Drosophila melanogaster: one gene and its partners. The protein of the gene in region 3 interacts with the protein of the main gene of each other region in a pairwise test. Each region holds a gene or a part of one and is shown on either strand. Other genes may lie near its edges. The genes, in order: Cpsf5, SkpB, e(r) and CG13458.

Region 1 (8,716 bases), on a different chromosome or scaffold from region 3:
GATGCCATGTCCACCGTGTCCTCCGGCGGCGGCGGCCTCACCGATCAGGGCTACTACGATCTAAAGTTCTATCACAATAAGTTGTGGTGAAGTCGAAGTCACAAACCAGAAGGCACGCAATATTTGCTAACATCTTTTGTACGTGTGGCATAAGCATAATTAAACAAAAATCTAATCTAGTCTGTAAGATTGTATTGTCTAATCAAAATAACACACCAAACGGTTCCTGTACTTCAGTTCGATGATTTCGTTGTGAGCTTCTTCTCCGACTTTTGTTGATTTGTTCATTTGTTACAAGCCACGCACACCGAAGAGCATCCGTAAACTAAACTAGAGCCTCACAATTAAACGTTAACAATAGCAAATTGAAATATACGTAGATTAATTGCCGCCGGTACTGAGCTAGATAATTTTACAACACATACTCGTCTTTGGTTGAAAAGATCCTTTATTAATAATTTCGCTTTGTACTGTGAATTTGCAATAGCCCTTAATGTTATCCAGCCCGTGTGTATCTTCCAATTACAGAAAACGAGAATATTTCGAACAAATCTATGCCGAGTACATGCTATAGGGATAGCGCCAGTTGGCCAGAATGCATCTTCATAACCATACTTAAAATTTCTTAAACATTGTCTAACATTTAGTTGATAGAACAAAACCCCCAAAATGCAAATAGATATTAAAGATGAAGATATACAAATAAAGCACAAAATTTTGTCGACTCTATTTGCCAAGTGAAAGAGACTGGCTTTCCATTTTATCTGCAATACAATTATGTACGTTTACACACACACATGAAATGGAAATCTACGGGCTGATCTGTGGTGCTGAAATCAGTTAGGTAGCGCTATCGTTGGTGCTGCTGCTGCTGCTGTTGATGCTTAACTATTGCTGGACGTGGGCCCCTCCTCCGTCTGCCCTTACATGTAGATAAAGTTGAATCTGCAGTGAGGAAGCGTATGTATATGTAAGTGGGGCGGCAATCTATAAACTTCGATATGCGTTACGAACTTACCTGCAGAGGGCCTGCGGCAGAGATGAGATAATGGGTCCATATCCTTGCGAGTTGTCGTATAGCTCGAATAATGGCGCAGCAACAAGCTTATAATTTTTGGGTACAGCAAATAGTGCTAGATTACGGAAAACGATAGAGACAGAATTCATGTATGTAGAGATATCAACGAACATTGAAATTCACAGGATATATCATCTAGGGATATTACAATCGGTTGTACAATTTACATATTAAGAATCATTTCGCAGCCGTATGATATAAAGAGTCGTATGCGTTTCGTTTTACATTCATAGTTGGTTACGTTAGACTAATTAATTGGATTCGCTGCGACTTGCAAAGCATGACCGGCACTTTGCTGGCCCAGCGATGTCTCCTAATATCAGTTATGAACATAATTTCAATTTAGAGCAACATTATACATGATAAGTGCGGTTCGAATTGTGCGCTGAAATGCTTCAGCTGGTGGACAACATCAGTTCATTTCAGCGCACAGCGAATGCGTAAGGGCCAAAAAAGGTATAAACAGTATTTGCTTGTGTTTACATAAACGAGTGCTTAATTTAAGGAGCGACTTGCGACCTGACTGCCCAGCATGCGTGCAAATCTGCAAAACACGCGAGATTTGGGCACATGACTGCGACAGCCAGCAACGTTACAATGCTCTTCTGCTGCCTGCCCGATGGATTGGATTGCTTTCGATAAATACACAACAACCTTAAGATGAACGACACATGACACTTCACAAAAGTAAGAATAGAAGCTAGGAAATAAATAAAATATGTAAATAGAAGGATAACATTGCTGCGCTCAGTCTCACAAGTATGTCGACATATTTACAAAATTAAGTACAAGAACAATCTTTGAATTTCGAATGATAAAAATCGGGAAATAACAAAATATGCCAACACTCAGTCCTGAGCAAAAATACAATTTGAATTTGATTTTCGACATGTTGTACAATTGGACTAGAATCAAAACTAACTAAGGAGTCGCCTGCGCCAGCTTTTGCGATCTGTTTGTTTCTTTTCTGTTTGATCTGTTCTGTTTGCTCGATTTGTTGTTCTATGGCATTGCACTCTTGAGATTAGAGTTGGGTAGATACGACACACACGGCGCTAATGGAACTGCTCAGGGTACATCGTAACTGGCGTTCCCGTCCGTATCTAAACAGCATTGAAAAGATATGACATGAGGTTTGTTAGCGTATTCGGTTTTTGGCAAACAAAAACAATCTATAGGTTATATAAAGTACATGGAGAGATGGATATTCTGGATACACGGTGTGCTCGTTATACCTACGCGTAGGGACTTACAAAACGCCCTGCGGATATTTACCCTTTTCATGTAGCTGGACGAGGAAAAGCCGCTTGTGCTCCTTGGGCTTGGTGATGTGCGGCGGAATGTATGGATATTGCGGTGGCTCAAAGTTCGGCCGCCACCAGTTCCCAATCGTGTCCTCAACAATCCACTCCTGCTTTACGCCGTCCTGACGACCCAGCGTCTACGAAATAATAAAAGTAGTGATAGTTAAGATCAAATAACAATATTTAACTATGGCGCCACGTTTGACTTACCTCGGATAGCAATCTCTTGAGGCCCTCGACCTCATCCTCGCCGGCGTTTAGCTCGCCACCGGGCAATTTGAAGAACGTGGTGCCCAGCTGCAGGAGCAAGACATGTGGCAGTCCGTGCTCGTGGACCAGAAGCACTCCCTCGACGGAGCGCCGCATTCCGATCCGGTCGAATTCCTCGCGCATCCGCTGGAATCGGGATGGCACCGACGGATCCTTCTCAAAGAGCGGCTCCTTGGTGCCGAATGTGTAGTTCGTAAGGGGGTATCTGAAACAATCGATCGATCTATGATGTGCGTCTATGAATGAAATGTGTTGTACCCACAAGTTGATGGTGCGATTGATGGTTAGCGCCTGGTTGGTGTACTTCTGGGTACCGTTGTTATTGCTGCTGGCTGCATCCGCTTGGCCTTGGCTTCCGCGGCGCGGCCAACCGGAGCCCGATTTGTTTGAGACTTGCGAGGACGCCATTTTGTTATACACACACCCCTGTGGGAAAATTTGCGGGACAAGCTGGCCGACTTTCTACCAAATCCTTTGGTTGTGCGTTGGAAACTTGTATTCCAATAATATTATAATCCTTAACTGTTTATTTACAAGTTATACTATAAATGTAAACCCGTTTTAAGCCGCTTAATTACACTTTTCTGTCCAGCGCTTGTGCAAAAAAATTAACCGGCTGGACGAGGGCTGCACGTGAATTGATTGATGATGAGCAGAACTGGTTCGTTGAACTAGATTATGGAATTAATCGATTTCGTACTTTGTGTGAAATAAACTTGTAATGACCTTTTGCTTAATATTTATTAAAGATTTATTCAATTTTTTGTTTTATTTTTAAATGCAGTTTTAAATTATTGTTTGTTTACATATGTAACGACAGCCCTGGTGTTTCTTGTCTAATGGCAACGCTCTGAAATTGCGCAGCAACCCCATCTGGCCACACTGACCCATTAGTTTTTTGTTTATGTTGGGTTGTCGGAAAAATCGGCTGTTTTCCGTGTGTCCGTCTGCCATGAAAAGCTGCTAAAAAGCTAAATATAAAAATCAGCGCAGCACACACGTTCCGCTGCCTGCATTGTTTGCCCATTCTAATGGGAAATTATGTGAGTGCGAGTCAGGAAAACGCATCGTGTGTGTATATATACATATATACATAAGTATGTAACTGCGCCCGTTTGTTTGTGTGTGTTTTTGTGTGCATGGTGCAATGGAAAAGTGATTATTATAAATGAAAATCAGTGAAATGTGTAAGTGTGGCACCGCAAACGCTTTGAACTTTTCCATTTTCATGTTTTCACCTTGTCTTCTCTTCTCTTCTTCACCCACCTCCCCCGTAGTCAACCAACTCCCACTTGTGCGTGTGTAGGAAGGCAGAAGGGTGTTTTGCATTCGTGTGCGTGCCAGATAAAAAGACTTTGAATTTCTGGAGGATATTAGTGTCAACTGTGTGGGGTATAATACGCCGTAGGCCCTAATATGCAGGCAAGTCCATTAATTACGCCAAAGGTCACAGGTTAGGCACGCAGCCAGGATCCAAGGAGCAATAATAATGTTGTATGAAGGCGACCTGTAAGCGAGAGCGAGAGAGCTGGTGTTTTGGTGTGAGTGCGTGGTAGAACAAAGAGGACGAAAAACACGGCTAACGAATTCGCCGCACGACACACTCGCCGCATGGCGAATTCAAACGTATCCCAGTGAACGAATGAGAAACAAAAGGATATCTTATTGAAACTGATTAAACTAAAGACTGCCGAATAGTTATATAAAATCCAAAACCATGTCTGCGGCCGAACTCGAGGCGGAGGCTTCAGCCCAGGAGCAACAATCCCAGCAACAACAACAAAATCAATCACAAAGCGAGGAGATAAATACAAACACTGCCATCAATGCAAATGCAACCACAACAAATAGCTACAACAATAATTTAGATACGGAAACCCAGCTTCAGATGCACCAGGATCCGCAGCAGCAGCAGGAACTCGAGGGCAATAGCAACAATGGCATCACAGGACTCGGCCTCAGTCTGATGAACTCCTCACCGCCGCCGCACAGCTACCGACATTCGCGGGCCTATCGCCACTTCAAGAATCCGCCACAGCCCCACATGTGCATCCGCACCACCACGGAGGCGGGCGAGGAGCTCTTCATCAATGTCCTCAGCTGGACGCGCATTGTGATACCGCAGGAGCCCAGCGATCCCATTCCCCTTTACGGAGGCATGCGGGTAAGATTCCTTAGATTAAGTGTCCTCAAACATTCACGTCGGTGTTTCCTTTATTAGTTATTTATGTTAATGTTCTTATTCATTAAGGTACCGCCTGGCAGCCCACGCAGTCCTCCCATTGTCTTTGCCGTAATGGCCAATCCGGAGGTGCTCAAAGACTCCGGACGTCACAGCAAAGATCCTGAGGAGCGACGAGCTATGGTGGAGCTGATGTGCGACTTTGTGGAGGCTATGAATCCAGGCGTGAAATTAGTCAGGTATATAATAACACTATTAGTTTACTGCCCGATTAAAAACAAGAATAAAAATATATGTAATACATCTCCAGAAACGCCGTAATACTCAAGGATCGCGATATCTCCGGCGAGCTGAAGGATGTCTGGAATGCCGTTCAGGCGCAGCGCGATCGCGAGAGGGAGGAGCAGATGATGCAGCAGCGCCAGCAGCAGCACTACCAGAACATCACCACGCAACAGATGTTTCCCAAATCGCCGGATGCATCGCGGGCAGCTAGTGCTGGTGCTGCAGTGAACGAGGCCAGCTCGCCGCCGGCTCACTTGTCTGAGCCGCTGCTGGTAGAGCAGGGAAATGGCAATGGCAATGGCATCACCCTGGCCGTGTTTGCCCAGCAGCTGGACAACAAAGTGGCCAGCGAGCAGGGTGAGCAGCAGGAGCAATCGCCAGTTTCGGAGGATGCTTGCGTGGATCAAACGGATGCAGGCAGCTCGCTGAATGGATCAACAACTGTGCTGGACAATCAGCCGGTGGCAGTGGAGAACGAACCAGAAGTAAAGGTTGCACCACCGGCAGCCACAAATGGTGCTAGCACTCCCACACCCAGCCACGCAACACCCACAGTAACAGCCACAGCCACATCATCGCCCAGTCCAACTCCAACTCCCGTTGTTGCTCCCGTCGTTACAGCAACTCCTCCACCTGCTGCTCCCGCAAAGAAGGAGAAACTGGGCGGCTTCCTGCCCAACGGCTGCATCTTCCCGCGCTTCAAGAACAACAAGCACAAGGACAAGGACAATAGTCACAAGGAGGGCAAGAGCAAAGAGAAGACCCTGCTGAATGCGCTGAAAAAGAGCAAAGAGAAGAAGGTGGCGCCCAGTGAACAGCCGACAGAAAAAGCCGCCGCCTCGGACAACGGAACAACGCAGTACGAGAAGAACTGCATCAACAATCTGGAGTGCGAGGTGCAGAAGCTGGACTTGAACAGCGGCACCAATGGCGACAATAGCATGTTCATCAAGCTGAAAGTTTCGCCGGCCAATGCCACAGCAGCGGCAGCGGCGGCCAAGTAGAGATAATCCTGAATTTACACACAAAAAAAAAATAAATAAAATCTCGTAGGTAAGTGGGAAGTTAGGACGATAGAGAGCCAGAGGAGGCGGCACTCTACCAGTGAACAGTGTCACTGTGTCAGCACTTAGGGCTTAGAGTCGTGGATAGAGTCGTGTAGCATATACAAGATTTATATATACAGATATATATACAAGCATTCACACACCCGTTTTTACACCGTTGGTCAATTTTTTGGATAGCCACTCAGAACCAGGACTAGATGAACTAACAGTTGTGCCATGCTCCAGCTCATAGACATTTATAGACGACAGCGCTTCTCCCAGGATCTTCCCCGGCATTTAACTGACAGAATGATAAACGTATTTACATAGTTCAATATATGTATGATTCGCATACAGTTTGCCTTATATACAACAAGCCCGAGAGAGCGACAAGAACCTAGCAAGAACCAGTTGATAAACACGAGAATAAATGTATTTAAAAACATAATCGTCGAATGAAACTCATGCGCCAAATGAACTTACCAGACTAACTACTAGCTCCATTCCCAAATTGTCACATCATCTCATCGTGAACCATACACCCACCAGGCATTTGCCCATCGATTCATCCATCCATCCATCCATCCATCCATCCATCCATCCATATCCATATCCATATCCGTGCAAAAGTATTAAGAAACTTCGCAGATCCAAGAACCCTAACCCTGGATCGATTGATCTCCACGCTTTGAAGTTGAGGGGCAGTGAAAACAGCGGAGGGAGTTTTAAAGCCGGCTCTTTAGTGCCACGACTAACTTATGTACCTTAGTATAGCCGAATGCGAAAACAGTATACAGATCCGCAATGTCGCTATTATGATTTATATTTTAAAGTTTAACTTTTAGTTTCCCCTTTTGGATACCGAAACGGGGAAACTACATTTCATTCTATTTATTTTCCGTTCGTGCTTGTTGTGTTGTAATTGTGTAATACTACTGTTGGAATTTTTAACTTTTACTGTGTTTATTGTTTGTGCTAACCCAATTCCAATCCCAATCCCTCAACTTCAAACGAAACCATTCACGAATCATATATTATAGAGAGTAAAAAACCACTAGAAATCGAATAAATATTCGGGAAACACCAGTGAAAAATGGTAAAACAAATAGTTTCAACTGCAATATCGGACTGAACAAAGCTGCCATATGAAAAGTATATACATGTAATGACTTTGTATATAAAGTTAGCTACAGATTTCCATAAAAGAAAAAAACGAAATTTCAATTGTGATTCCATCGAAAATCTAATTTTGTTTCCACATCGAAGAATTTAATTGAAGAACTCGAAAACACACACACAACGTATACCGAATAAAATATAATTTTGTTTGCTGGAAAAAACCGCATGTAAGCGGAGAATCCTAACAAAAAGAACTTTTCTTTTTGTTTTTAGTTCATTATATTTTTTTATATAGGTGCCATACAGGAAGCGTGTATGTGAATTAATCAAAATTGATTTCATCCAATTGGTATTAAGATTAAGCCCAGAGTTTCCTTAATTGTGAGTTGAAACGAGTACCGAAAACCCTAAAGTATATATACTAGTTTTTAACTGGTTGTAAATGAGAAATGCTCGTGTAAAATTAGTATTAAATTATAGCACGAACCCAACAACAACAACAACAACAAAAAAGCAACAAACATAACACTACAATTACAAATTAAATTAGTTTAAGACCCAAGTCTTCTAAGCGAAGAGCAAAAAGCAATAATTTTACTTGAAAAGAGAGTGACACGACAAGAAAATTATAATGATAAAAATGCGTGTGTGGCTAGTAACAGCAAAAGGGTGGAAATCTGGAAAACTCACGAACTCAGAGAGATGCAATAATGTTTCCTTGGAAATATCTAGAGTTTTCCGGAGCAGCCCGGAAAAATGTCTACAACAAACAAAAAGCACACACTAGCGGATGAAAAGCCAACAAAACAGAAAAACACACATTTTTATATGTATATGTATGTAATAATAAAAGATCGTATTTGACAAAAGTGTATTTAAAGTTTGCTATTTATTTTGCGAAGGATTTCAATAAATATGTGAAAATGTCTTAGCTACTTTCTACAGAACGACCTATACAAGGCGATGCGATGGATCCACCAAATCCATAAGGATCTAGATCAATATCTGAATCTTACTCATCCTTGTTGTTGATGGCACGCAGGCGTTCGAGCTCGGCACGCTCCTCCTTGTTGCGCAACAGGGGGACATTGTAGTCGAAGGCGTAGAAGAAGCCCTTGGGCTCGCCGGTCTCCTCGGGTCCGGGCACATATGGCGGCTCCTCGTGCACGTAGGGCTGGTACTCGGGCTCAGTGGGCTGGTAGCGACCCTCCTGCTGGTACTCGGCGGCATAAGGATCGGGATTGTGGCCAGCGGCGGCGGCCAGCTCACCCCACAGCTTGAAGTGCTCCTCCTCGGCCTTGAGGACAGCCGGAGTCTTAGTGGCCGGCAGTTTAAGGTGTGCCGGACGATTGTCCTCCACATGGAAACCGGTCTTATCAGCATAATAGTTGGCCACAAAGTCACGGCCATGTGGTTGGACATACTTGTACGA
Region 2 (6,633 bases), on a different chromosome or scaffold from region 3:
ACTATAAATGAAGTTCTTCTTAAGACGTGCGATTTTAAGCAAAGCCAATTGGCCCAGTCTGCTTTTCAACACATTTTTAAAAGATCTTAAGCTTGCGCACAGTGTGTAAGCTTCTTGATCTTTCCAAAATTCAAGATCAAAACAAACGGTTTATCTTGCATACTTTACTACAGGGTGACCTCTATCATCCAGTGCTGTTAATTAACTTATTAGCTGTCTTTTCAACTTGGAACTGTGCAACCCAATGAATTATATAGTGCGTTGGCATCACTGTCACCACATGGTCACATGGTCGTGGGGTCGTGCCTTATTTATAGCCCTAGAGCCCGTCCTCCTGGGCTTTGTGTCAAAGTCAGGCTGTCAGTTGCATCAAGTCGAGTTCAGTTCCCTGAAGTTTCGTTTCTAGTCCAGAGTGCAGTTGCAGCCCAGTTGGACATCTGTTTGCACTTTCCGCCTACGTCCTTTGTCCAGTGTCCACTTTTTCATATAGTTTGCGGCGGAAAAGCTGCGTGGCAAAGAGCATGGCTAATAACAGGTTGACAGAAAGAATAGGGAAACTGAATTTTTGGTAAAATCGCTATGATCTAAAGCATTTTAGGTCTAGCTGCTCTCATGGTTTCACACCCACTGTCTGTAAGTAATAAGTACAAATATACATAAAAGACCCTACTTTGCGCCATTTATTCACATTTGTAAGCTGGGTGGGCGACTTGACTGCTATTTAATTTTAATTTTGCCGGCGAATAGTAGACGCAGTACGTTGAACCGAATGAGCTCTAAGAAAAATAAAATTGCTCGTTCGCCTGTCGTGATTGTATTCTTTTTCATTTTTGAAGCATCAGTTTCAGGTATCGTTTTGCACGGCAGCCATTCCCTGGGGAATCCCTGGGATTTAACAAATTTTCAGCCAGTTCAATGCACAGCGTTGAAGTTTAAAGGTCGCCATTACAATTATGGCCAGGTTAGCTTTAAGACACTGTAGTTTGAAAAAAAAAATGGGTTTGGCCACTTTGATAACTCGAGAATGGAACCATCAGTGCGGCATAGCAGTTTGTCTTAGTACTCCAATTTAAATGCACGTTATCCAGAGAACAAACCACAATTTGAAAAAACACCTATACTTCATACATTATTGTTTAAGCTGTATTTTATTAGTGACATTAATTGCAATAATTAGCTGTGCGGTTGCTAATGCTGCTAATTTAAAAACTTTTCATAAATTTAATCAAACGCTCTTGGTTCTGGTTGTGATAAGTGAAACAGCATTTATTGATAAAGTGCGGTTTATTTTAGAACTTATTTAAAAATTGAAAGGTACAAGCTATTTTTAGAATATTTTGGACTTCCTGCCGATGCCAAGCATTAAACACTTATAGGTTGTAAACAAAAAGTTTTGCATATTTAATAAAACCAATTATGTATTTTTTATGTTTTCGTAGCTATAATTAATTTTTTTGTGATGTACTACACAATCGCCGAACATTAAAAACCGTAGACTATCACATACCTCTTACTTATAAAGGCTTTAGACTTCATCTTTGTCGCGGACCTGTTTGGGGCTATCGACAGTTAGTCAAGACCCAATTTAGAGCCGCTAGAAGTTAGAGATATTTGAGTCAGGACTTTACTCCGTTTCGATTTACTCCGTTTTAATCTCAATCTTAATCTCAACTCTCTAGGATCTATTGTTTCTGAGATCCCGACATTTATACGGACGGACAGACAGGCGTACTCGGCTATTGATCCTGATCAAGAATATATATACTTTTTATGGTCGGAAACGCTTCCTTCTGCCTGATACATAATTTTCAACGAATCTAGTATACCTTTTACTCTACGAGTAACGTTTATAAAAATTCTATCCATTTCTCATACCTCGATGTTTTGAAAAAATGCAGTGCTGCCACTACGATCGAAATGCGGTCACACTAGACAGCTGATTTTTTCCAACTGGAAGATTTGCTTTGCACACTGGACAAAGGAAATGTCCCATTTGTCGGCTTATCCAGCATATACGTCAGTCTAAACATGGAGAAAAGCTGCAGTATTGGCAACGGACGGGAGCAATACGGCTGGGGACATGGCGAACAATGCGGCACGCAGTTCCTTGAATGTGTCTACAGGAACGCGTCCATGTACTCTGTTCTGGGCGATCTGATCACATACGTGGTGTTCCTGGGGGCTACGTGCTACGCAATACTTTTCGGCTTCCGACTGTTGCTGTCCTGCGTGCGAATCGTCCTCAAAGTGGTTATCGCCCTCTTCGTCATCCGATTGCTGCTAGCTTTGGGCTCCGTCGACATCACATCTGTTAGCTATTCCGGGTGAAGTGACCAATCTGGCGAATGCCATCGGGACCACGGCCTTTAAACTACATTAACTAAATCAAATATAAATTCCAAATTGAAGAACACTGTAAATTACATTAAACGGTTTGTCATTAATTCCTTTGTTAAAGAGCACTTGCCAACATTAAAGCATAATATTTTATTTAATTAACCCAACAGAACAATTGCTGACTCTTAACATGATCAGCTAACTATCTCAATTGAAATGTTGATTAAACAAAAAATTTAAGCTTTAATTTCGTCATGGTAAGTTGATGGTATTCATTTATCCTCACACCACTCGTTCTCCTTGCGCACCTGTTCCTCCTCCTGTGGCAGAAAGTCATTCTGGATGGCGAAGGTGTCGCGAATAGCCTGCGGCGACTTGCCCTTGATCATATTGGCCACCGTCTTGCAGGTGACGTCGAGCAGACCCTGGATATTCAGGTAGTTTGCCGCGAGGATCAGTTCGAACAGCGTGCCCTGGTCGACTTTGAGAAAGTCAGCGTCCCAGGATGAGATGTCATCAGTGCGCTTCTCCTTGTTCTCAACCTCTTCGGTAACCACAGGATCGTCCTTGTGATAGGTGGCCCAGTGGAGCACTTTCTTCAGGATCAGCGAGTTGACATTCGGCAACGGCAGCACACTGTTGTCGCTCTCATCGCCCAAATCCTCTATTGCAATGCGAATCGTTTCCGAGCACTTGGCGATCTCCTGATCCGTGTCAAAGATCTCCTTGTCCGCAGACTCCAGCCGAATGATGGGCATCTCTGCGTAAAAATTTTTATTTTTGCTTATATCTATATTTTCAATTTTATTCGTACACACCTCCTGCTGATTTGGATCCCAAGATTTGATACGAAATCGGTTTGATTTATTTGCAGACGCAGCCAAACAAAATTTTTAGACACAACACGATGTCACTTAGCTGTGGCCTACTGGCTAAAAATAATATTCCCTTGCCTTCAACTTGAACCGGACTGGTGCGGCGGCCGCCTGAGAACAGAGCGTTTGTTAAATAAAGAACTTGGCTGCCAATAATTCCCCGGATTCTTAGAAAACTAGAACGTCGTACGATTTGAAGAGGAAATTTGTTAGTGAAACGGCCGCCAGTGTGCACATACTCGGAATGGCTTTAAAAGATGGCGCCTATTACAGTTAATGGTGTGGAGACACTGTGACAGCTAGCGGTAAACAAAAGCTCAGTTATATTTTTTTATAATGTATATATATATATTTTTTTTAAACATATATATTTTGGCACAATTCAAGCGTGCTGGGCGTTGTATTATTTAAACAGAAACCTACAAAATTCTGCCTTTATAGTTAGTTTTTATCCTGTTTTTATTTAATGAATTTCAAATTTCAAATATTTTTGTAAACAATTTTAAGCTAGGCCAAGGGTTTGTGTCGCGGCTAGTGCAAGCAGTCAACTTGCGGCATTTTTTAGTACATTTCCCTCTGTGCTGGGTTATATATTCGCAGGCTATACTCCACACTGCTTCCAGCGGAATCGTCAAAAAAATAACATTAAAATCGCCGTGTGCATAATTAGAATATTTCCGAATAGTAATCGCCCGTGAAATCGCTAATTAGCGGTCAGCACTTGCGCCAGTTAAAGAAATCGCGGCACCGGCAGTGGGCCAAAAGAACATTTTTTCCGGCTGAAAAAAACAGGCGGCGGCGTCGACACGCGGACCGAACCAAAGGATCCGAAGCCATCCGATCAGATCTAATCCGATCCGGAGAAAATTCCAGGACACTAAGGACTTCCGAAACTACCCCGCACAAGAGATGGACGTGTACGACGTGAGCGATGATCTGATAAAGAAGCTGCAGGACTGGAAACTAATCGGCATCATATCCGGCAAGTTCAACGAGCTGAAGGAGAACCATCGCAAGGTTGACTTCGTGATGCGCGCTCTTATTGACTTCAAGTACATTGAAAAGATATTCCTGAATGTAACGCTTCGAGAGGACAAGTGCAACAAGCGGAGCGTGGAGTTCCGTATGCTGGGCAACGAGCAGTTTTCGCTCAAGAACAGGAATTACTTCCAGGTAATCATTGCCCCCTCAATCGGCAAACTTAAGCTAATCCCTGCGACTCGTTTCAGGCTCTAGAGCTGTACAACAAAAGCATCTGTTATGCCGAACCGAATTCGGAGCACCTGTCCATCGGCTATGCTAATCGGTCGGCGGTACTATTCGAGTGGAAGCGCTATCGGCAATGCCTGGACAATATCAAGCTGGCAAGGCAGGCCAACTATCCGGCGAGACTGAGCCACAAACTAGACAAGCGAGAAAGGGACTGCCAACAGCTACTCGATCAGCAACCGCCGGATGTGGTGCCCTATGAGTTCAAGCTCAGTTTCGAACCGCATGCCCAGGTGCCCTTCATCGCCGACTGTTTGGAGTTGCGCGAAACCGCCGCCGAGGGTCGCTTTGTGGTGACCAATCGGGATTTGGCCGTTGGGGATCTTGTGTCCGTGGAGGAGCCCTTCTGCTCCACACTGCTGACGCCGATGCGATACATTCGGTGTGCCACCTGCAAGCGGGAGAACTATCTGACCCTCATACCCTGCGACAGCTGCTGTTCCACGATGTTCTGCTCCGAGGAGTGCAAGTCGATTGCCATGCAAACCTATCACCGCTACGAGTGCCCCATCATTGACTTTCTGAACCGCATGTTCAACAAGATCCACTGTATCGCACTGCGCACCACACTGGTCGCGCTGAATATCTTTCCCAGCATCGAGGAGCTAATTGACTTCTGTGAGCAGGAGCAGAACCAGGACAAGTGCGCCTTTGACCTCAACTACAACGAGCTGACGCCGGAGGAGCACTACCGGGCCATCCATGGACTGGTGACAAACCAGCACCTGCGCTCCGTCTCCGATCTCTTCCAGCGCTCCGTGGTCTGTGCTGTGCTCAAGCACTTCATAATCGAATACACACCCGTCAAGGAATATTTGGGCGGCGAAGAAGGCGTGAACTTCTTCACGGACCTCCTGTTCCGACATCTGCAGACATCTCCCTCGAATATGCACGGCATCGACCTGGTCGAGCAGGTTAACGAGACCAAGGACGACCAGACGCACTCGTCTGGGGCGTACGCCTTCCTCTCGCTCATAAATCACTCTTGTGCGCCGAATACTGTAAGGATATACGAGGGCACCAAGGCGTACATGTTCGTCCTGCGGCCTATTAAGGCGGGAAATGTGCTCTACGACAATTACGGGTAAGTAGTAACCAAAGCATTCTGACCACACCACTTTAGTTCAAGCTAATAGGGGTCCAAGTCACTGCAGCTCTCTTCAAATACTAAAACTAATAGATATCCAACTTTTTAGTGCTCACTTCGCCATCTGCAGCAAGGAGCAGCGTTTGAAAAGGCTGTCCCTGCAGTACCGCTTCGACTGCAAATGCGAGGGCTGCGAGCTGAACTATCCTATGTTCGGAATGATGCCGCACAAGGCGACGGTGCCATCGGTTACCGATGACACGGAATTGGCACTGAGCTCCTACAACTATGATTTCGCGGTGAGCAACTATCGAAAGTACTGCGACTTCCTCACGCAATACGGTGACGACTATCCGTGCGAGCAGATTAGCTCCGCGGAGGAGTGCCTAAAGATGGCCCTGCATATCATGGCGGACGCAGTGCCGCTCAAGGCGAAGATGTAATCGGATCCTGCCGCTGAACCAACCCACACAACCAACACGGACGAACTTTTCCTTTGCTAACTTTAACTGGAGACAGCGTATTACAAGCGAGACACAAATCAAGGAGAGTAATTGATTATACATACATGTTGTTGCCATAAGTCTGTAGCGCAGGCAGCAGCGCGATGGGGAGGGAGCATGCCCTTAACTTTTATATTTGTAATTGTACATTTTCGACCTTTGATTATGTTTTACCCCGCACCAAGCCCGCACACCACACCCACACAACGCCCAGCACACCCACACAACGCCCAGCACACCCACACAACGCCCAGCACACCCACCACACATTTCACAACAATTCGAAAGTTCAAAATTCTAAAGTTTATTTATTTTTTGATCACAACAATGTCTTCGATGAAAACAAACAAACAAAGGATTATTATGCAACCTACGTCGTTTTTATAATTATTTTACAAAAACCAACTGAAGCAGAAATAAAATATTTTCAAAACGAAGTGACTTTGGCCTCAAGGCATTTTGCTGTACAGGTCCAGCAGGTTCTGGTTCAGCAAGGATCCTCCCCGGGACATGGACGTCGCCACCTTTTCCGAGGACGATGCCGATGTCGTGGGCTGCAGCT
Region 3 (8,132 bases):
ACGTAGCAGCAAAAAAAAAACAACAGAACTAGAACTCTGTAGACTAACAGATACTCCTTGTTCTGTTCAACCTGGCTGGTTTGTAAGAATACAAATTTTTTTGGATTTTTTTGTGTAACAAAACTTGCAAAAAGAGCACAAAATTTAAACAAAATTACCAAATTTAAAACCAAATCGTTTGGCATTTAAAAAACAAGTTTAAGTTTCATTTCATTATTTCGAGTGCTCAAAATACTGATTATTTTTTACACAAAAAATAGGGAAAACAATTTTTGGCCAAAATTCATATTTACGATTGGTTTTTTCTGTATAACTTGGCTTAAAATTGGCAGAGAGCCAAAAGAACTACCGTTTTTTACTCCTAATTGACAATACTAACTATCCATATCCGTTTTTTACGGACTTTGTAAAATTAATTTTTGACCAAAATTTCGCATTTTTTGTAAGGGGTAACATCATAAAAAATGAAAAAAATTGAAAAAATTTACATTTCCAACTTTTGAATACAGTTCGATTAAAAATTTAAATACAAACTCAGCGATGTATGGCATTCCATAATCAGACAAATATTTTTCAAGTTGTGGCCAAAAAAATAGATATTTTATGACAAAAAATAGTAAAAACGGGTTTTGTCAAAAATTGAAATATTTTTGATTGGCATTTTAATCATAACTTGGCTAAAAATGATCATAAAGCTGAAAGAATAACTGTTTTGGGCAGCTAATTACCAATGCCAAACAGCCCTATCACTTTTTGACGTATTTGAAAAAATTAATTTTTTAAGAAATTTTCGCATTTTTTGTAAGGGGTAACATCATCAAAATTTGGAAAAAAATTGAAAAAATTAAAATTCCAATTTTTGAACACAGTTTAATTGGAAATTTAATTACGAGCTCAACGAGGTATGACATTCCATATTAAAAGCAATTAAACCAATGGAATTGTACAGATATACAGATTTAAGAATGATTGTTTAAAACATGAGTGCTGTTTAACTGTCATTATAAATATGAAACTATCTGGTTGTTAAAAAATTTATATTTCTCATCCGGGTAGTGGGAAATTAGCGACGCACCTTAAAACAAATAACAATACGCCTACAAAGTCGTTTATAATAGATACACAGCTTTTGCACACTTTTGACGATAAAAACGATGATGTTTCAAACACATCAGGGGCGCCCACGTTCTTATCAGTTGAGAATGTTCTTTACTTATCGGCGCCGTAAAGCAAACACTTTTCAAAAACGAGCGTTAAACAAGACAAATTATTACAGATGCTTAGATGCGATAATTGTAACCTAATTGTGATTAATTGTAACTAAATGATTAAAATTAAAATAAAAATCACAGTTTGAATGCACAAAATTGAAATAAAGTCGATTTCTCCATTTACAAAAACTTGATATCTCCATTTGGAAATTCTAATTGGTTTGCTCTCCTGCCTTTTCTGCTTCCACTCTCTCTCTCACTTCCAATTGGAATTGGGGACTAACGAAATGGAATCAAGTTCAAGGCCACGATCGATTGATTGCCATCTCTGTCGCACTTGTTGGATGTGACTCACCTGCTGATTGGAATGAAGCTGCGCTGCTCCTCCTCTGCCGGCGTTGCCTCCTCATCGACGTTGGCAGAGGCAGCGACCTCTGACGTCACGGGGCGGTAAATCAAAGGCTTCACGTTGCGTTCGAAATCGTCGAGGAAAACGACATCGTGGACGGGAATAATGCGGTGATCGGTGACGTTGAAGTGGAGATCGCGAAAGGGGCCGTTGAAGAGGCAGCGCAACGGTGACGTCACCAGCACAGCATCTTCCGGAGGTAACTGTAAAAAATGTACAATATTTGTTGTATTTTAACGTATATCAAACATTTACTGATATAGTTTTATATTAAATCAAATACACCGCAACAAATCTCGTGCAAACATCAGATAAGATATTGATACGATACGATAATTAGTATAATATTTAAACAATGCGCAGTCAGGAGAAATATAGAATGGCTTATCAATTTTAAAATAAAACTAACGGAAACAGTAATATTGTACATATTTCAGTTTCAACTCAAAGCATAAGTTTCTCTGTAGCCAAGACACCATTTGGTAAGTTAAGAAAACTATTAAGTGGACGTTTTTTTTTTTACCTTGATTTTGCCATTGGTCGCCGAGAACATTGAGATTTCGAGATTTCAGCGATAAGAGATGAGCAACAACACAAATCAAATAGAATGCACAAGAAACACAGATACAACACCCACACATGAATGATCGTGCAACGGTGTGCGCAGAACAGTGAAGAGGAAGCAGAGAGACGAAGCAGAGGCGACAAATTGGACACGCGTGCGTCGCGTTGGTTGGATTTTGTGTTTTCTTATTTGACTATTGCCTTTTCGGTGCTACTTTAACGGGTTTCCCCGTTTCACAGCCTTTATCATCTTATTTTCGCAGGGCTTTTTTGCTTTTCAATTTACTGCCTGGGTTTCATTTAACTTCGCTGCTCTTCTACTTCATTCATTATTTGATTTGTTTACGTTGCTATTTCCCAATTTGTTTGCTTCTTTTCACTTCATTTTCTTTCAATTAGGACGCACACAAACACACAGGAAAAAACAAAAAAAAAAAAAGAGAGACACGAACGCCACTTGCACAATTGAAAATAACAACAAATTAATGGGAACGCGCGAAACACGGGCTGCTGCGGCTGCGCCTTCACTTTTCACTAAAACAAAAAGCACGTAAATAATGTTGAGACGAGATTTTGCTTTTTGTTGTTGATTTCTTTGCCGATCGCTCTGCCGCCGCTCGACTGCGCTGCCCGCGACACCGCGCTCTTCCAATTGGTCCAATTGAGATCAAACAGCTGGTGGGCACTCGGATCTTCGATTGCCGCTGTCTGGCAGCACTGGGAACAGTGAGAACAGTGGCCAGACTGCGGAGCTGGCGATGGGCGATAGTTTTGTTTCATTAAAAGTAACTTTTGACTTTATATTAAATACAATACTAAAAAATGTAAAAATATGCTTTTTAATATGCACTTTAAGTGAAAATGATTGTACATTAAGTTTACTTCATAAAGACTTTAATGACCATAATTTGTTGATGGGCGTTAATTTTATTCTAACTTAAATAAACGTAATACCTAATATTTATATGTAATAACAAAATAAAATGAACCTAAATAAATAATGCAATCCACTTTAATTTGACATTATAATTATAATTTTTTTATAAATATATAAAATAAAAATAATAAATAAATAATTTCCGTAGTTATTGTAATGTATTACTATGATGAGTATATGTTAAAAGCTTTAGTTAATTTTATTTAAAAAATCTGAAGACTAAATATGGAATGAATTACGCCAAATGAAATGAAAATATGCATTGAAAAACATGCTTTATACCTAAAGGCGTAATATACATAAAGTGTGCTTTTCAATAAAAAAGTGAATGAACATAATATGGAATCAAATACATATACAAATTGAAATGCAAGTATACATTGATACAATTAAGTATAAAAAATCACAATTGTCATTTAATTTGGTAAATATTATTAAACAATGTATATCAAATAAAAGATGTTAGTATTAATCGATATCTTTCGATTATTTTGTCACGGCGAGGCACGCAGCGAAGCGCTCATCTCTAGCTTCAGCCTCCTCTTCAAAACCCATAGAACTGGCAAAATAAAAAAAAACGAATCAAGCGCTGATTTTACCGAATCTCTTTACTGAATCAGCATATTATCATAGTCCATATAGTCCGGCGTTCGAACGGGTAAGTTGAACACTAAACGGGAGACATGGGAATTATTTAAAATTCGAGAAAAATCGGTGAAAAGGAAGAAAAACAAGTGATTGCATACAGTTAGTTACACACACGCGGCGGCCGTTACTCCTTGTACATGTGTGTGCGTGTCTGTTCGCGCTTCCGAATGTTTGTGTTTTAGTGAAGCGGCATAAGCGTGCATTATCTTGTACAAATGTACGCATTTCTCCATTGCCAACATTCGCTTCACACACAAATTACTCGTTTTCCATGCTGGAAGTGCCATCTTAGTCTATTTCCCAGTTGCAAATTGGAAAATCAAAGAGCGTTCTGCTGGCCAGCATGTGTGGTGCGCGTGTATTGGTGTTGCGGCGAGAGCGCGAGCGAGATGGGGCGATGCGTTGCATGCGGCAACAGCATATCTCTTCCATCTCTTTCGTTTTTGTTCTTTTCCTTTTTTTTTTGTCTTTTTTTTTTTTGCTGACAGCTCTCTATGCTTCTAATAAATATTTATGCACAATTTTTGCAGAGCTGGCGAAGTAAACTTCAACTTCGAGAGTCTCGGAATCTTTCGGACTTTGCTATAGAAAAAACGCTTGTTAAAAAAAAGGATGTAAGTGATGAAGATGAAACGTAATGTAATGAAACGCACACTAGTAACATACATACATACATATCGCTTGAGTACATAGATCACCGCCAATAACATTAATGTTCCATTTTTGCCTTGCAGATCACCATGTCGCACACCATCCTATTGGTACAGCCGGGTGCTCGTCCGGAGACCCGCACTTACTGTGACTACGAGAGCGTCAACGAGTGCATGGAGGGCGTGTGCAAGATCTACGAGGAGCACCTGAAGCGCCGCAATCCAAACACTCCGACCATTACGTATGACATTAGCCAGCTATTCGATTTCATCGACACAATGGTGGACATTAGCTGCATGGTTTACCAGAAGAGCACCAATACCTATGCGCCCTACAATAAGGATTGGATCAAGGAGAAGATCTATGTGCTGCTCCGTCAGGCGGCATTTAGTTCCAATACCTAAAGGGACGGCGATGCGACAAGATACATACATATAAAACCAAATAACACGATGATGCATGCATCAATGCGTGCAACACTAACGACAACAACACGTTGATGTATGCAACAATGCGTGCAATAGCAACTACAACAACAACAACAATACGAGGATACATGCAACAGCGCTTGGAACAGCATCCGCAACGGCCACAACACCATAACACCAATAACACCAACAAGATGAGGAAGAAGAAGAAGATGATGATGGAGTGGTGGGGCATCGATTCCATTGGAGACTTGCTGCTACCGACTAGATCGCCAAATGACAGCAACTTTTTTTTGCAACATAACGCAATGCAAAAAAGGAAAAGGAACACAAAGAGAACGATAAACTGTATAACTTAGAAATGGAAAACTTACTTTAAACGTACTAATATATATATATATATATAAATATATATATAGGCGTATATATATATATATACTGTATATACACCCAACTGACAACTGTGTGTGTTTTTGTGTGTTTCAATGTTTTTTTGTGCGGCAGCCACAGGTGACGGTTGTTCTTATCGATAGCGAACTGTATGTTTGTTTGTTTGTAAAACCGAATGGCAAATTTGCAAGTGTGCATTTTTTTTTTGTATGTTTTGCCGTGTGTGCTAGCTTAAGTCTTTGCAATCTATCGAATAATAAACTAACACATCAGGACACACTGAGCATATATAAACATATTTGTAAACTACTGATTCCCCCCCCCCCCCTTTATCATTTGAACTTAGTTAAACAACAACTTTTAGCCCGCTGATTTTGCACACCGATGGGCTTTGTGGCGTTTTAACGGCTTGTTTTAAGCAAAACAGAACCTTTGGTCGCAGATGCGAAATGACCTTGAGATGCTGGTTGTTGTGTGTGTGGTGAGGGGGGAGGGGTAGGGGTTTGTGGGTTGTACCCCCGCCAGATATTCAATCGGATAACGAACTTGGACCGCCGCTGAATCGCTTGGCCGCACTGCATTGAACTTGGCGTGCGATATTTAATTAGCTCCGCGACAGCATTTTGTTAAATATATATATATATATATATATATATGTATATATGCACATTTAGTGTCGACTTGTGGATGCTGCTTACTAGCGTTAACTAGCAATAAACATAGTGTTTATAGTTTACCCATTATATTTGCTGAATATTAATGATCACTAGATTTCTCATTATTCAGACAAATATATTTGTTTGTGAAAAAAGCATTTGCTACAGCAAACTGTACAGTTTATTACAAAAATATGTATATATATTTTCAAAAAAAAAAAAAAAAGAATTTCTCCTATTTAAAGTAGTTTGCTTGCCACGCAACTCCGCGCTTTTTACAGGGTATGCAATAGCGCTACAGCTGCGTCGAATATGGTGCATAGTTTTTTTTTTTAGAATATTTTTCAAAACTGGTTTTAAACACTGCATTGTCGCCACACCGCCCCGCACCGCCCACTTTCAATGTCAGTTAGCCAGCCTCGCTTTTTGGCCAGAAAGCAAAGCGAATGGGATGCAGATGAAGTGCATCCTGCATGAGATGCATTTTTCGGTCATATAGTGTTGCACTTGTCTAGTTTTGTTTTTTTTTCTTTCTTTTTTATGTAAAATACTATTCTTAACCGGCTAAACAATAAGCGTTAACAGCTAAGTGGATTGAGCATGGGGGGGGGGGAGAAATATATATTGTGGACCTGGCTAATGGCGCATCTGCCGCTGTGCCTCCTTCTCCACCTCATACTCGTACTCCAGCTGCAGTTTGGGCTTCGAGCGGCTGCGTCGACTGTTGCCCGCCGGCGATTTCTTGTCCTTCTTCGCTTTGCTGGCGGTTTTCTTGGCTGGCACTTTGGTCTCCTGTTAGAATGCAATTGTTCGTTTTAAGTTCGGTTTGGCAATTGGAATTTAGTTTTGTTTCGTTTTAGTTTTCTTTTTTTTGGCAATTTTCTGGAGCTGTTAGTTAGCGCGCACTGAATGGAAACCGACGCAACTGAATGAAAAGCGGCGAACGGCGCTCGGAAAGCTTTATTCTCCAAGCTCCAAGCGGGCAGAACTCGTTTGCTATTTCTAATTATGGTAATTTCGGAAGAAGGTGGCAGGATTTAAGCAATTGCCAACTATTTACATACTCAGAATTTTCAATATTAAAAGAAATTCATTGAAAAAGGATTTGGAAATCGTTAAATGCTCCAGAAAACTGCCAACAAAATAAAAAAGAAAAGCCTGATACATGACCAGAAACACTACCTCAATATCATCTGCATCCGCATCGTCATCCTCGTCGGACTCCTCGAAATCGCTGCCCACCTCGACCTCTTCCCGCTTGCCGGAATCGCTGTCGTAGTCGTCCTCGTCATCATCATCATCATCATCATCATCCTCCTCCTCATCGTCCGTATCTGCCTCGACGAACTCCTCGTCGAGCAGGGATCTCTGTACTTCCTCAGCTTCGCGTGAATCGTCGCCGTCCACCTCCATTTCGCGCTCCAGCTGCTCCTCATTCTCGTCTTCGTCGTCTAGCTCCTCCTCATCATCCTCGTCCACGCGTTCCGCCTCCAGAGCCTTGTTGAAAGCGGTCTGCGAAAAGTTGTAGATGTCGCGATAGGTGCCATTCTTCAGACGATCCATCAGCGCCTTCTCGATGTGATTGTCGATCTTGGCGGCCACCAAGGCCTTCTCCTCGCGCCGCGCCTCCCGCCGTTCGATCTTCGTCGATAGCGGCACAATGAGCTTCTGGCGGCGCAACTTCAGACGACGCATTCGTATCAGATATTGGGTGATCTTGAGGAAACGCTGCTTATTCTTGGCGATCATGTATTTGGGCCAGAAAACCAAATTCTCGTTGATCTGTTCGATGGCCTTCTCGAAGTTTCTGGACAACTTGATCCTCTCCCACAATTTGCTCGGCATATGCGCTCTCTCCGCCGTCTTGATGAACAAATAGATGATGCCCTTCTCCTCGCGAACGGTGGCATATTGTGAATTGGCCAGCGGACACGTTCTGCGTGTGCACAGACCCGTGAGATTGTACTCATGGCGGCAGAAGGTGCGTGTGTCGGTTCTGTGTGATTTAGATTGCCATTGAATACATAAATTTTCTACATAATTATAATTAACTGCATTTCAACTCACTTCACTTTGTGCGAACAGAAGGACTTGTTGATGATGCTCCAGACCACCTGGCAAATTGATAATAATCTGATTAGGACACCAACAAATGTGCATATTCATACACCTGCTACTCACATCGTCGTGCTGCATGGCGCCGTTTTGTTATTAACGAAATGCCTTCAATGATAAAAA
Region 4 (8,823 bases), on a different chromosome or scaffold from region 3:
TCGCAGGCGCAGAGCCTGTAGCTCATCGGCATGAAGTTGAACAGTGCTCAGTTGCTTCTCCCTCAGCGTATCCCGCTCGCAACGAACCCTTTCTAGCTCGGTCCTGGCGCAATCCCGTTCCCGCTCCACCCTTGCAATGGCCGCCTGGACGCAGTCACTCGTATTGCTAGTAACGGTGGAGGTAATGGATGAAGCTGTGGGGGGCGGCAGTGTCTCATACTGCACACTTTTTTGTGGGGAAAATTGCTGCTTTCCTCCATGAAACAGTTCAGATCGCAGGGCCTTTAACTCCTCGTCCTTAGATTTAATTTGGGCATGCAAGAAGGCGATCTCCGACTCGGATCCGGTCTTGCTCATCAGACGCAGATACTCCTTCTGGAAGAAGTCCCGCTCTGATGACAGGCGTATTTTCTCTTCATCCAGGGTGACGTTGGAATGTTTATTCTGATCTTTGAGCTCCTTCTGCAGTTCTAATATCTTTGCTTGCATTTTCTGAATTTTCTTCTTATGCTTTTCATTTGTGGCCTGTAGTTCCTCTTCACGACGAGTCAAAAGATTTAAGCGTTCATTAAGATTATGCTTGTCACTTTGATTGGAAGCAAAGCCACCGGTCAGTCGGTGATCCTTTCCCTTCTTCTTAAGCTCCAACTGCAGTTGCCTAAGTTCCGATTCCTTGGCATCGATTTCCGCATTGGCCTGCTGTTCCACTTGCAACGCAGCTTCCTTGAGCTCCTCCAGCTGCGTTTGGAGCTTTATTTTATCCTCTTCGGAGCTTAGAGCCCGCTGCATAGCATCGTGCATCTTGTCCTGGAATTCTCGAACTTGCATCATTAAATCGCTCTTCTCGCGTTGCAACAGATCGATGTCCTGGGAGAGGGCGCCCACGTCCTTGTAACAGCAATCCTTGGCCAAAGCCGCTAAAGGACGCCCTCCTGCTAGCATGTCGTTTAAGCGGCGAATCTCCCGATTTCTGGCCTCCACTTTGCGCTTGAAGAACTCCAGTTGTTCTCCGGCTGCCGTAAGATCATTCTGCATCTTGTCTAACTCCTCCTGTCCACTGGTTTGCGTCACTGTCACACCGTCTTTGGTCGTTGTGGTGGTCTTCTGGAATACCCCAGCATTGCATTTTGTGCATTTAAGAGCACTGCTGCTAGTGCCCAGTGTAGTTGGCATCGCAATGCCCGAACGCACTGTGGTTATAAAGGGTTTTTTGGCTGGAAAGCAGAACATTTTAATAAAACCAACGTGAATCAGATAGAGATAGTATCTCAGGGAGATCCAATTCTAGTTAAATATCTTTCTTAGACCTACTCTGACGTCCAATGCCAGCTGTCGCCTTTTTGTTCGTGACTGATGAAACCATTTGCTTGGTAAGCAAAGCGTCCAGTTGCCTTTGAAGTCCATCGTTGTGACTCTGCAAATGCTGCTTGTCCAACTCCAGATTTCGGATCTTTCGCTCGGACTCTGAAAAAGTTTAAGGCAGCAATAGAGTTAAAAATCAAATTAAAATCGATTACAACATACCACACAGGCGCAGCTCGTAGTCCTCCCTGTCCCTCAAAAACTGGAGATGCAGTTCATTGCACTCGGCCAGCAGGCGAGAGTTGTCACACTTGTAGGGTTCGACGCCCAGCTCCCAACAGGTCTTTTCCTGCCGAAAGGAAAGCCACAACAGAAGGATTGCTTAGCAACCAATTGAAAAACCACAACATATAAGAAAGAACGTGGGCTTAAAAAGCTAACGTGTAAATATCCTTGCAAGTATTTCACGCTTAATTTTAGGGATTCAATTGAATTGTATAGTCTGCCCTTAAAAATGAAGCATATTTGGCGTATATAGAATAAGAATACTGAAAAGAAGTTTCTCATGGGATCCTCACAATTATAATCATATTTAGATTGACAAATTCTTTTTTATCTTAACAGCACCAACCTGAATCTCTTCAGTAAGAAATTGTGATAATATTATAGTTACACATATATAATCGAGAAAACCCAAAGGTCTTGTACTCTCTACTGGTATACCCACCTCCAGCAGCTCGGCCACCTTTTTCTTGGTATCCCTCAAACATTCTGTGGTCTTGATTAGGTCCCCGAAAACAGCCTGCAATGTAAAAGGTACAGGATTATGCCAAAAAATTAATATTACAGGGTATGAATATTACCTGAACCAGTGGAATGGCCAAAACGGGCAGCGTCTGTGTGAAACCCATGATGTCCAGTTTGCAGCGGAGGTCTTTAAAGTCACCATCGTTGATATTCATGGGAAAACACTAATAACAGCAAAAAAATCACAAGTTTTCTCCTAAATGCCCTAAATTTCAGAAAATGCGCAATGAAAACAATGCTATTCAATCAAATCAAAACAAAACCGGACTTCAACCGATATTTCCTTAAATATATCGGTTATCGAAAGTGACCATCACACCTCAGCAAGGAAATCAATCGAAAATTTGTTTTAGTATTTTATTATCGAACGCAAATGTATCGAAATCAGTATGAAAAATAACATCGATTGCCCAGAAAAAACGTTACATTCAAAATAAAATATAAAAGCTGAACAAAATTTTATATTTTTTATGAAAATTCATAGATTTTACCAGGTATGTACTGCAACCGAAAAGAAGTTACCGAATATTTCAATATAATAATTTTATTATTGTTCATGTGTCTATGGCTATGTCTAAAAAACCAAATTATAATACAAATTTTTTAAACTTTTAGAATTGTACCAGGCTTTACTAAATAATTGACCTTGTCCAAATCAGAATTGTTCGATATTTGTCTTTTTATTAAAAAAAAACTAAGGTGTGGACTGCGATTAATCAACAACAAAACAGTAAAAGTTCTTAAACATAAAAGACGCTTCATTATCTGATATAAAATTACGTTCTGGCTTTTCCGAGGAAAACGGATTTACAGTTGGCGGCATTACGACATTTAAGTGTCGATTCGATTGGTTAATAAATTGAATCATATCCAAAGGGGCCTCGTATTTTGTATAGGAAGTAACTACGATGGGGCAGTTGAGATTGAGTGCAGCTTGAATGGTATCTGGCCAAGTATCCTCCAGAGCGAAACCAGTTGATCGGTACAGACCGCAGTTAAAGAAGCAAACTATGAATTTATGTATAATAATTATTATTAGTTTCGCTTAAATGAGTGTTAACTTACTCAAATTCGGCTGAAGAAAGTGCGATTCTCTGCAGTAATCGTGATATAAACTATTCTCAAAATGATAGTTAACCGTTCTCTGGGCTTTTCTGCAGAAACGGCAGCATCTAAATAGATTGATAATCTTTAGACTAATGTTTAAACTACTAACTAAAAGTGTAACTCACTTGATTTTCTTTAGCTGTTCAAAGGATATATTATTAGGATTAAGTTCAGGTCCAACAAAGACCACATTCAGAGTTTTCACCGCTGGCGTTATGTGGAGCAGGAAGAGTTCCCATTTCTGCAGCATATCCGCCTCAAATTCGATCTCGGCTCCAATTAAGTGAAGAGTCATCTCCTCGCAGTTTCTGAGGCGCTCGCAAAGTTTCAAGGCAAACCAGGCAGTTAATGGGCCAGTGGACACCTGGGTAAGTGCTGCGTACTCACACTCATTGGTAACATCTTTAAATCAGTATAATAATACATTATAATAAAATCCTTGAATACTTCGTGTTTACTTACTAAAGCTTAGCTTCTTCATCATCTGCTTGGTGTTGGAGCAAGCCATGGGCAGCTCTCTAAGAATCTTACTGGGCAGTGATGGCTCCATGCGGCCGAACTGTTCCTGAAACATGATGAAGGCCTTGAAAATCTGATAGGCTCCACACCACTTGGCGTGCTCCTTGCCTCGGTGCTCCGGCTTATCCTTGCAGAAAGCCACCTCGCCACATCCACCGCACATGGATAGACGTTTAAAGCGATGCTCCCGGCACTTTGAGTCGGCGCAGATCAGTGGAAATAGGAGCAACTCTCTCTCCGTTGCGCTGAGCTGACGATTCATCTCCTTCTCCACCTGGCGAATGCACACGATCCGGAAGGAACGGAACTGTTCGTCACTGAAGTCGCCGCACTTGTAGAACATCTCGTGACCTGCATCCGCCCCATCCAAAATTGGCAATTAGTGTGATTTATGAATTTGTGAATCGCCGAAAGACACTCACCATTGCGGTCCACCGTCTGGCGCAGGGCGTAGCACAGCTGGCGGTGCTCCTGGTCGTCTTTCATGTGCCCACTGCTGCAGTAGTAGCTCAGTCCACAGCGGGAGCAGGGTATCCGATTCTGGCCGCACAGATCCGACTTGCAGAACTGCAAGTATTATAAAAGGCTTAGTAAAATAAAATTGTAAAAAAATCTTATTAATGCGCCCTTTACATTTGTATATAGAAATAGGAGAGTACGCTATAGCCAACTTCCTCGACTATCAGATACCCATTACTCATCTAGCGGGAATGCCACCATTAATGAGCATATCGATAGAAACTGGCAAGAAACCATTTTACCTGTTACATACTTTTCAACGAATCTATTATGCCCTTTTCCTTTAGGAGTGTAGGGTATACAAATGTAGAAGTTTTAAACTATAGTCCCTTCAGCAATTAAGCACAGTTTGTAATGAATACTACCTACATTGCACAGTGAGGCCATAAAATATTGCCTTGGCTTATAGATGTACTCCACATACTCCTCCACTTCCTCATCGGATGACTCGACATCGCTGGGCGGCGCTTGGCTGAAAAGCTTTCCAAGATTGCTGAATAACGCGGCTGCTGGGGATTCACCAGATCCTATCAAGCATATTTTAGTTATGTTGAATTGTATATACTTCCTAATGATTATCTAATTACCCTTTGGCAGTTTGCTGCCCAAGCATTTGAGTAGATCATTTATTTCCTCTTCTTTTGAAATTCCAGATGCCTTGGCTTCTGTTTTGAGTTTTGGAGTAACCGAGGTACTCGAAATCTTTGGTTTCTTTTCTTCACTTTTGATTTCCTTTGGTTGGGTAACTATTTTGACCGGATCAGTTGATGGCTTATTTTCGCTGGATGGCACAGCACTATTTTTGGCCAATAATTTCCTACGTAACAGTTGCTGTATCAGCCGGATTGTATCGTTCTCTTGCGGATTTTCCACTTGACCAATTTTTGATAATGATTCAAGCAGAGAATTTCCACTTGTAAGTAAGGGCTTTTCCACCGGAGGTTTACTTTCTACACCATTTGCCGCTTTTGAGCCATTACTTTTGAGTGAAGACGCAATTGCGTCTGGAGATTCCCCTTGATCCTGTGGCACCTGGTTGATCTTGTTGCGCTGGCGATTCCGAATCCTTGGCTTCTTTTTGTGGACCCCCGACTGAATCATGTTAGCTGCGTTTCTCTTATTTCGAGTGCAAAATTAGCCAGAGCACGTTGCTCAATTGAACGAACAATGAAGAATGCGCATTGTTCTTGGTTGGGAGTCTTGCGGTCCGCCTCGATTCAATTGGCCGCTAGCCATCGCTTCTCATCGCGGCCGCAAGCCCAAATGTATGCCCTGGCTATTTTTGTTGGGCACGGGCCTGACGATGTCTGACAACGCCAGCCGGTATCTGAATCCGCATCCCGCATACGAATCTCAATTCGCATGGGCTAGCGTCCATTATTATTCTCGAGTACCAGCGTTTGATTAATTCTCTGCCTATCTCAACTAATTGCGTCAACAAGCAGAAAATTACACTGAAGTCCACTCTGTGGTGCTCTTTAAAAATATAGTTCTTGGCAGAAAAGGGATTATACATAATCCCTTAATATATTTGTAAGAATTTAGAAAAAACAGTCAGTTTTTTAATAAGGTATCAGTTGCCAAAAAGTATTGATGGAACTGTCGTTAAAAATAGAAGCAACAATTGTTTTCAAAGTATTCCAATAGTTTATGTGTGAACAAAATCATAACAATTGGTATGGATATCTTGAAAAGCGATTTTTCCATAAATTCGGAAACAAATAAGCTTATTTAGCATGTTTCAATTCCAATTTCGAAATTTCGCGCCCAATTTGAAAAGAGAGAAATAGCACACATTTACTTTCCACGCACTATTTCCAATACCGTTCTTGCTGCCCGCTAAGTTCAAAATAAAACACAAACATTTGAAATTGTTCCATTAGTTATTTTTTTTTTCGCATCCAAAAAATATATATGAATTAAGATTTTCATATAAATTAAAAATGTACGGAAAGTAACATCGTAGTTTACTTAAGCTTAGGAGAAATTATAAAGGGTTTCTTATTATTAATGCCTCTTTCATAAAAGGTCAAAATTTTCAATTCGCAAATACCGTATTATACCCACCCAGTAATACTTAAGTTATCCCAAACTTTTGGGGTTTTGCGATAACAAAAGTACGTCTGATAATCGGATGTTAAACACTTTAGGATATAAGATACCGTTCACTAGTTTACTTATGGCCATTGGTAGGATCAACGCCTCCGCAGGCACCTTCGCTGTCGGAAGTGCTTATGCTACCATTGCAACTTTTTGATATTCCATTTGTGGGTGTAATGGGAATTTTCAAGGAGCTCAGCGATTTTGTTGCTCCGGCCAAGCCCACAACACTGTCCTCCTCATCCGAGGATGCGTCGGATAGCTGGCGGGGCGACAGGCGGCAACCGCGCTGAATATATTGGTTCAATCGATCCACTGAGGCCAGGATCAGGCCGAGGAAAGGAGGCGACGGCTTCAGAGGCCGCGACAAGTACTCTGGATGATATTGGGTGGCAACAAAGTAGGGATGACCGCTGAGCTCAATGATTTCCATCCTAGTTTTGTCGACGTCGGTGCCCACAAATCGCATGCCTTGCTCTTCCAGCAGATGCACGTATTTGGGATTAACCTCGTAACGATGCCGATGACGCTCCTGCACGCTTTTCGGATTGCCATACAACTGGCGAATGACACTAGGACCATCAGAGAAAACAGTTATTCGCTTGCCCAAGCGCATAGTGCCGCCCAATTGACCCGTGTGATGCTCTGGCATATCGATGACCAAGGCATTAGCTGTGTTCGGATCGATTTCTGTGGTGTTTGCATCCTTGAGACCAAGTTTATTTCGTGCGAATTCAATGACCGCCGCTTGCAGACCCAAGCAGATGCCAAGCAATGGCTTTTGATTCTCTCGCGCCCATTGGCATGCACGAATCTTGCCCTCCATTCCACGGGAACCGAATCCACCGGGGACTAGGATGCCATGGCTATCGCATAGCTTCTGCCACTCCTTGTGGTACTTGCTCGGCTCAGAATGCAAAGTTTCCTCCTCCAGCAGGCACGACTCGATAAAGACCAGTTCCAGTTTGCGATTCACTGCCAGGGCGGCATGTTGCAGGGCTTTAACTACGGAGGCGTACGAATCCGTGAACTTGGTGTACTTTCCCACGACGGCGATGCAAACTTCACGGCGAACGGTCTCCGTTCGACGCGCCAAATCTCGCCATTGCTGCAAGCATCTAAAAATAACAAACAATTTGTGATTAACTTACTTTCAGGGTTTAAATATAGACCTTAACTTACTTGGTCCTCTTGCTCATGTCGATATTAAGCTGTAGGCGCTCATTTAGGTATTCAATAACACCATTCTGCTCCATCAGCAGCGGAACATGATAAATGGAGTTCAAATCGTGGATGCATATCACCTGATCCGGCCCCACATGACAAAAGTTGCTGATCTTCTCCTTGACCTCCAGTCCAATGGGTTTCTCCGATCGGCAGACAATCAAATCGGGACTCAGGCCACATCCTCTCAGTTCTCTGACCGAACTTTGTGTGGGCTTGGTCTTGGGTTCTCCGGTAGCCTTTGGCAACGGAACCAGCGACACATGGGCCAAACAGAAGTTCTCTCTCTTTACGCGGAACTGAAACTGACGGAAGGCCTCTACGAAAGGCATGCCTTCGATGTCACCAATCGTTCCTCCCAATTCCACGATGCACACCTGTGGCTTTGAAGATCCCTGAACGGGTGTCTGGGCCACGCGCTCCACCCATTCCTGAATGGCATCAGTGATGTGTGGGACAACTGCAAGGGACAGAATGTTAAATCAACCAATCTTCCCAATCTCAAAGGTTTTCTAGTTATAAAGGATAATAATGGGATATGATCTGGTTTGCTCACTCACCTTGAACCGTTTTGCCCAAGTACTCGCCAGTGCGCTCCTTCTCAATGACCAACTTGTAAATTTTTCCGGTGGTTATGTTGTTGTCCCGATGCAGGGTAACATCCAAAAACCGTTCATAGTTTCCCAGATCCAGATCCACCTCGGCGCCATCGTCCAAAACGTAAACCTCGCCTGCGAAAAAAATTATAACAATTAATTCGTGGTTTCAGCATAATGTGGACCACCCTTCTTAGTAAAAATGAAAAGAACTGAAAATCATTTTAATGTTACATTTTTATTTCCAGGGTATTTGTGCTTAGGCGTAAATGGCGCACTCCCAGCTTTCCTTGGAGTGGCGCTCAACTAGAAATCAATCAAATAGCATGGCATGGACACGAACTAAGTATAATGCTTACGATCTAGGCTAGTGGGCGTATGTACAGTCTTGAGCTTAATCTAGGCATTCTGAGCTGTTCCACTACTTGGACTCCTCAAGATCTTCTTTGTAGAGTTCCTTGAAGATGAGCTTTTGTATCTTGGTGCGTATGCGCAGCTTCTGGGCTGCGGTCAGCTGCTTCATGTACGGATGTAGGCTGAGCAAGTAGTGGTAGTCATCGTCCTCTGGTACGAGCGGAGTGTCCATTGTCGAGGAACCATTAAAATTGCTATCCTCGGAGAGACGCGGGCGCTTCAGCTTAAGGGCGGG

Evidence for each region.
Region 1: the proteins of e(r) (region 3) and Cpsf5 interact in a two-hybrid assay, tested with the Drosophila melanogaster proteins (one large-scale study listed by BioGRID).
Region 2: the proteins of e(r) (region 3) and SkpB interact in a two-hybrid assay, tested with the Drosophila melanogaster proteins (one large-scale study listed by BioGRID).
Region 4: the proteins of e(r) (region 3) and CG13458 interact in a two-hybrid assay, tested with the Drosophila melanogaster proteins (one large-scale study listed by BioGRID).

Annotation. Positions count from the first base shown.
Region 1 is NT_037436.4:9,405,620-9,414,335, reverse strand, and holds Cpsf5 (cleavage and polyadenylation specific factor 5), read right to left. Parts: upstream 3,299-8,716; 5' UTR 3,061-3,298; coding exon 2,915-3,060; intron 2,858-2,914; coding exon 2,593-2,857; intron 2,520-2,592; coding exon 2,354-2,519; intron 2,182-2,353; coding exon of another isoform or gene 2,147-2,181; exon of another isoform or gene 1,134-2,146; coding exon 1,019-1,133; intron 946-1,018; coding exon 924-945; 3' UTR 501-923; downstream 1-500. Other genes in the region: Atat (alpha-tubulin acetylase), read left to right, coding at 1-90; CG4022 (uncharacterized protein), read left to right, coding at 4,370-4,816, 4,904-5,073, 5,145-6,123; Cpr67B (cuticular protein 67B), read right to left, coding at 8,297-8,716.
Region 2 is NT_033778.4:12,136,830-12,143,462, forward strand, and holds SkpB (SKP1-related B), read right to left. Parts: upstream 3,401-6,633; 5' UTR 3,156-3,400; intron 3,098-3,155; 5' UTR 3,096-3,097; coding exon 2,610-3,095; 3' UTR 2,466-2,609; downstream 1-2,465. Other genes in the region: CG18343 (uncharacterized protein), read left to right, coding at 2,029-2,328; Smyd4-4 (SET and MYND domain containing, class 4, member 4), read left to right, coding at 4,122-4,385, 4,442-5,565, 5,678-6,011.
Region 3 is NC_004354.4:8,901,756-8,909,887, reverse strand, and holds e(r) (enhancer of rudimentary), read left to right. Parts: upstream 1-3,639; 5' UTR 3,640-3,779; intron 3,780-3,897; exon of another isoform or gene 3,898-4,119; intron 4,120-4,299; exon of another isoform or gene 4,300-4,383; intron 4,384-4,503; 5' UTR 4,504-4,509; coding exon 4,510-4,824; 3' UTR 4,825-5,744; downstream 5,745-8,132. Other genes in the region: Rbm13 (RNA-binding motif protein 13), read right to left, coding at 6,531-6,686, 7,077-7,890, 7,962-8,008, 8,076-8,090.
Region 4 is NT_037436.4:15,110,302-15,119,124, reverse strand, and holds CG13458 (uncharacterized protein), read right to left. Parts: upstream 5,569-8,823; 5' UTR 5,356-5,568; coding exon 4,842-5,355; intron 4,782-4,841; coding exon 4,624-4,781; intron 4,303-4,623; coding exon 4,158-4,302; intron 4,087-4,157; coding exon 3,679-4,086; intron 3,619-3,678; coding exon 3,342-3,618; intron 3,282-3,341; coding exon 3,175-3,281; intron 3,118-3,174; coding exon 2,822-3,117; 3' UTR 2,752-2,821; downstream 1-2,751. Other genes in the region: Cep135 (centrosomal protein 135kDa), read right to left, coding at 1-1,214, 1,312-1,464, 1,525-1,651, 2,030-2,104, 2,166-2,264; CG45071 (uncharacterized protein), read right to left, coding at 8,596-8,823; Ctps (CTP synthase), read right to left, coding at 6,428-7,472, 7,537-8,038, 8,139-8,309.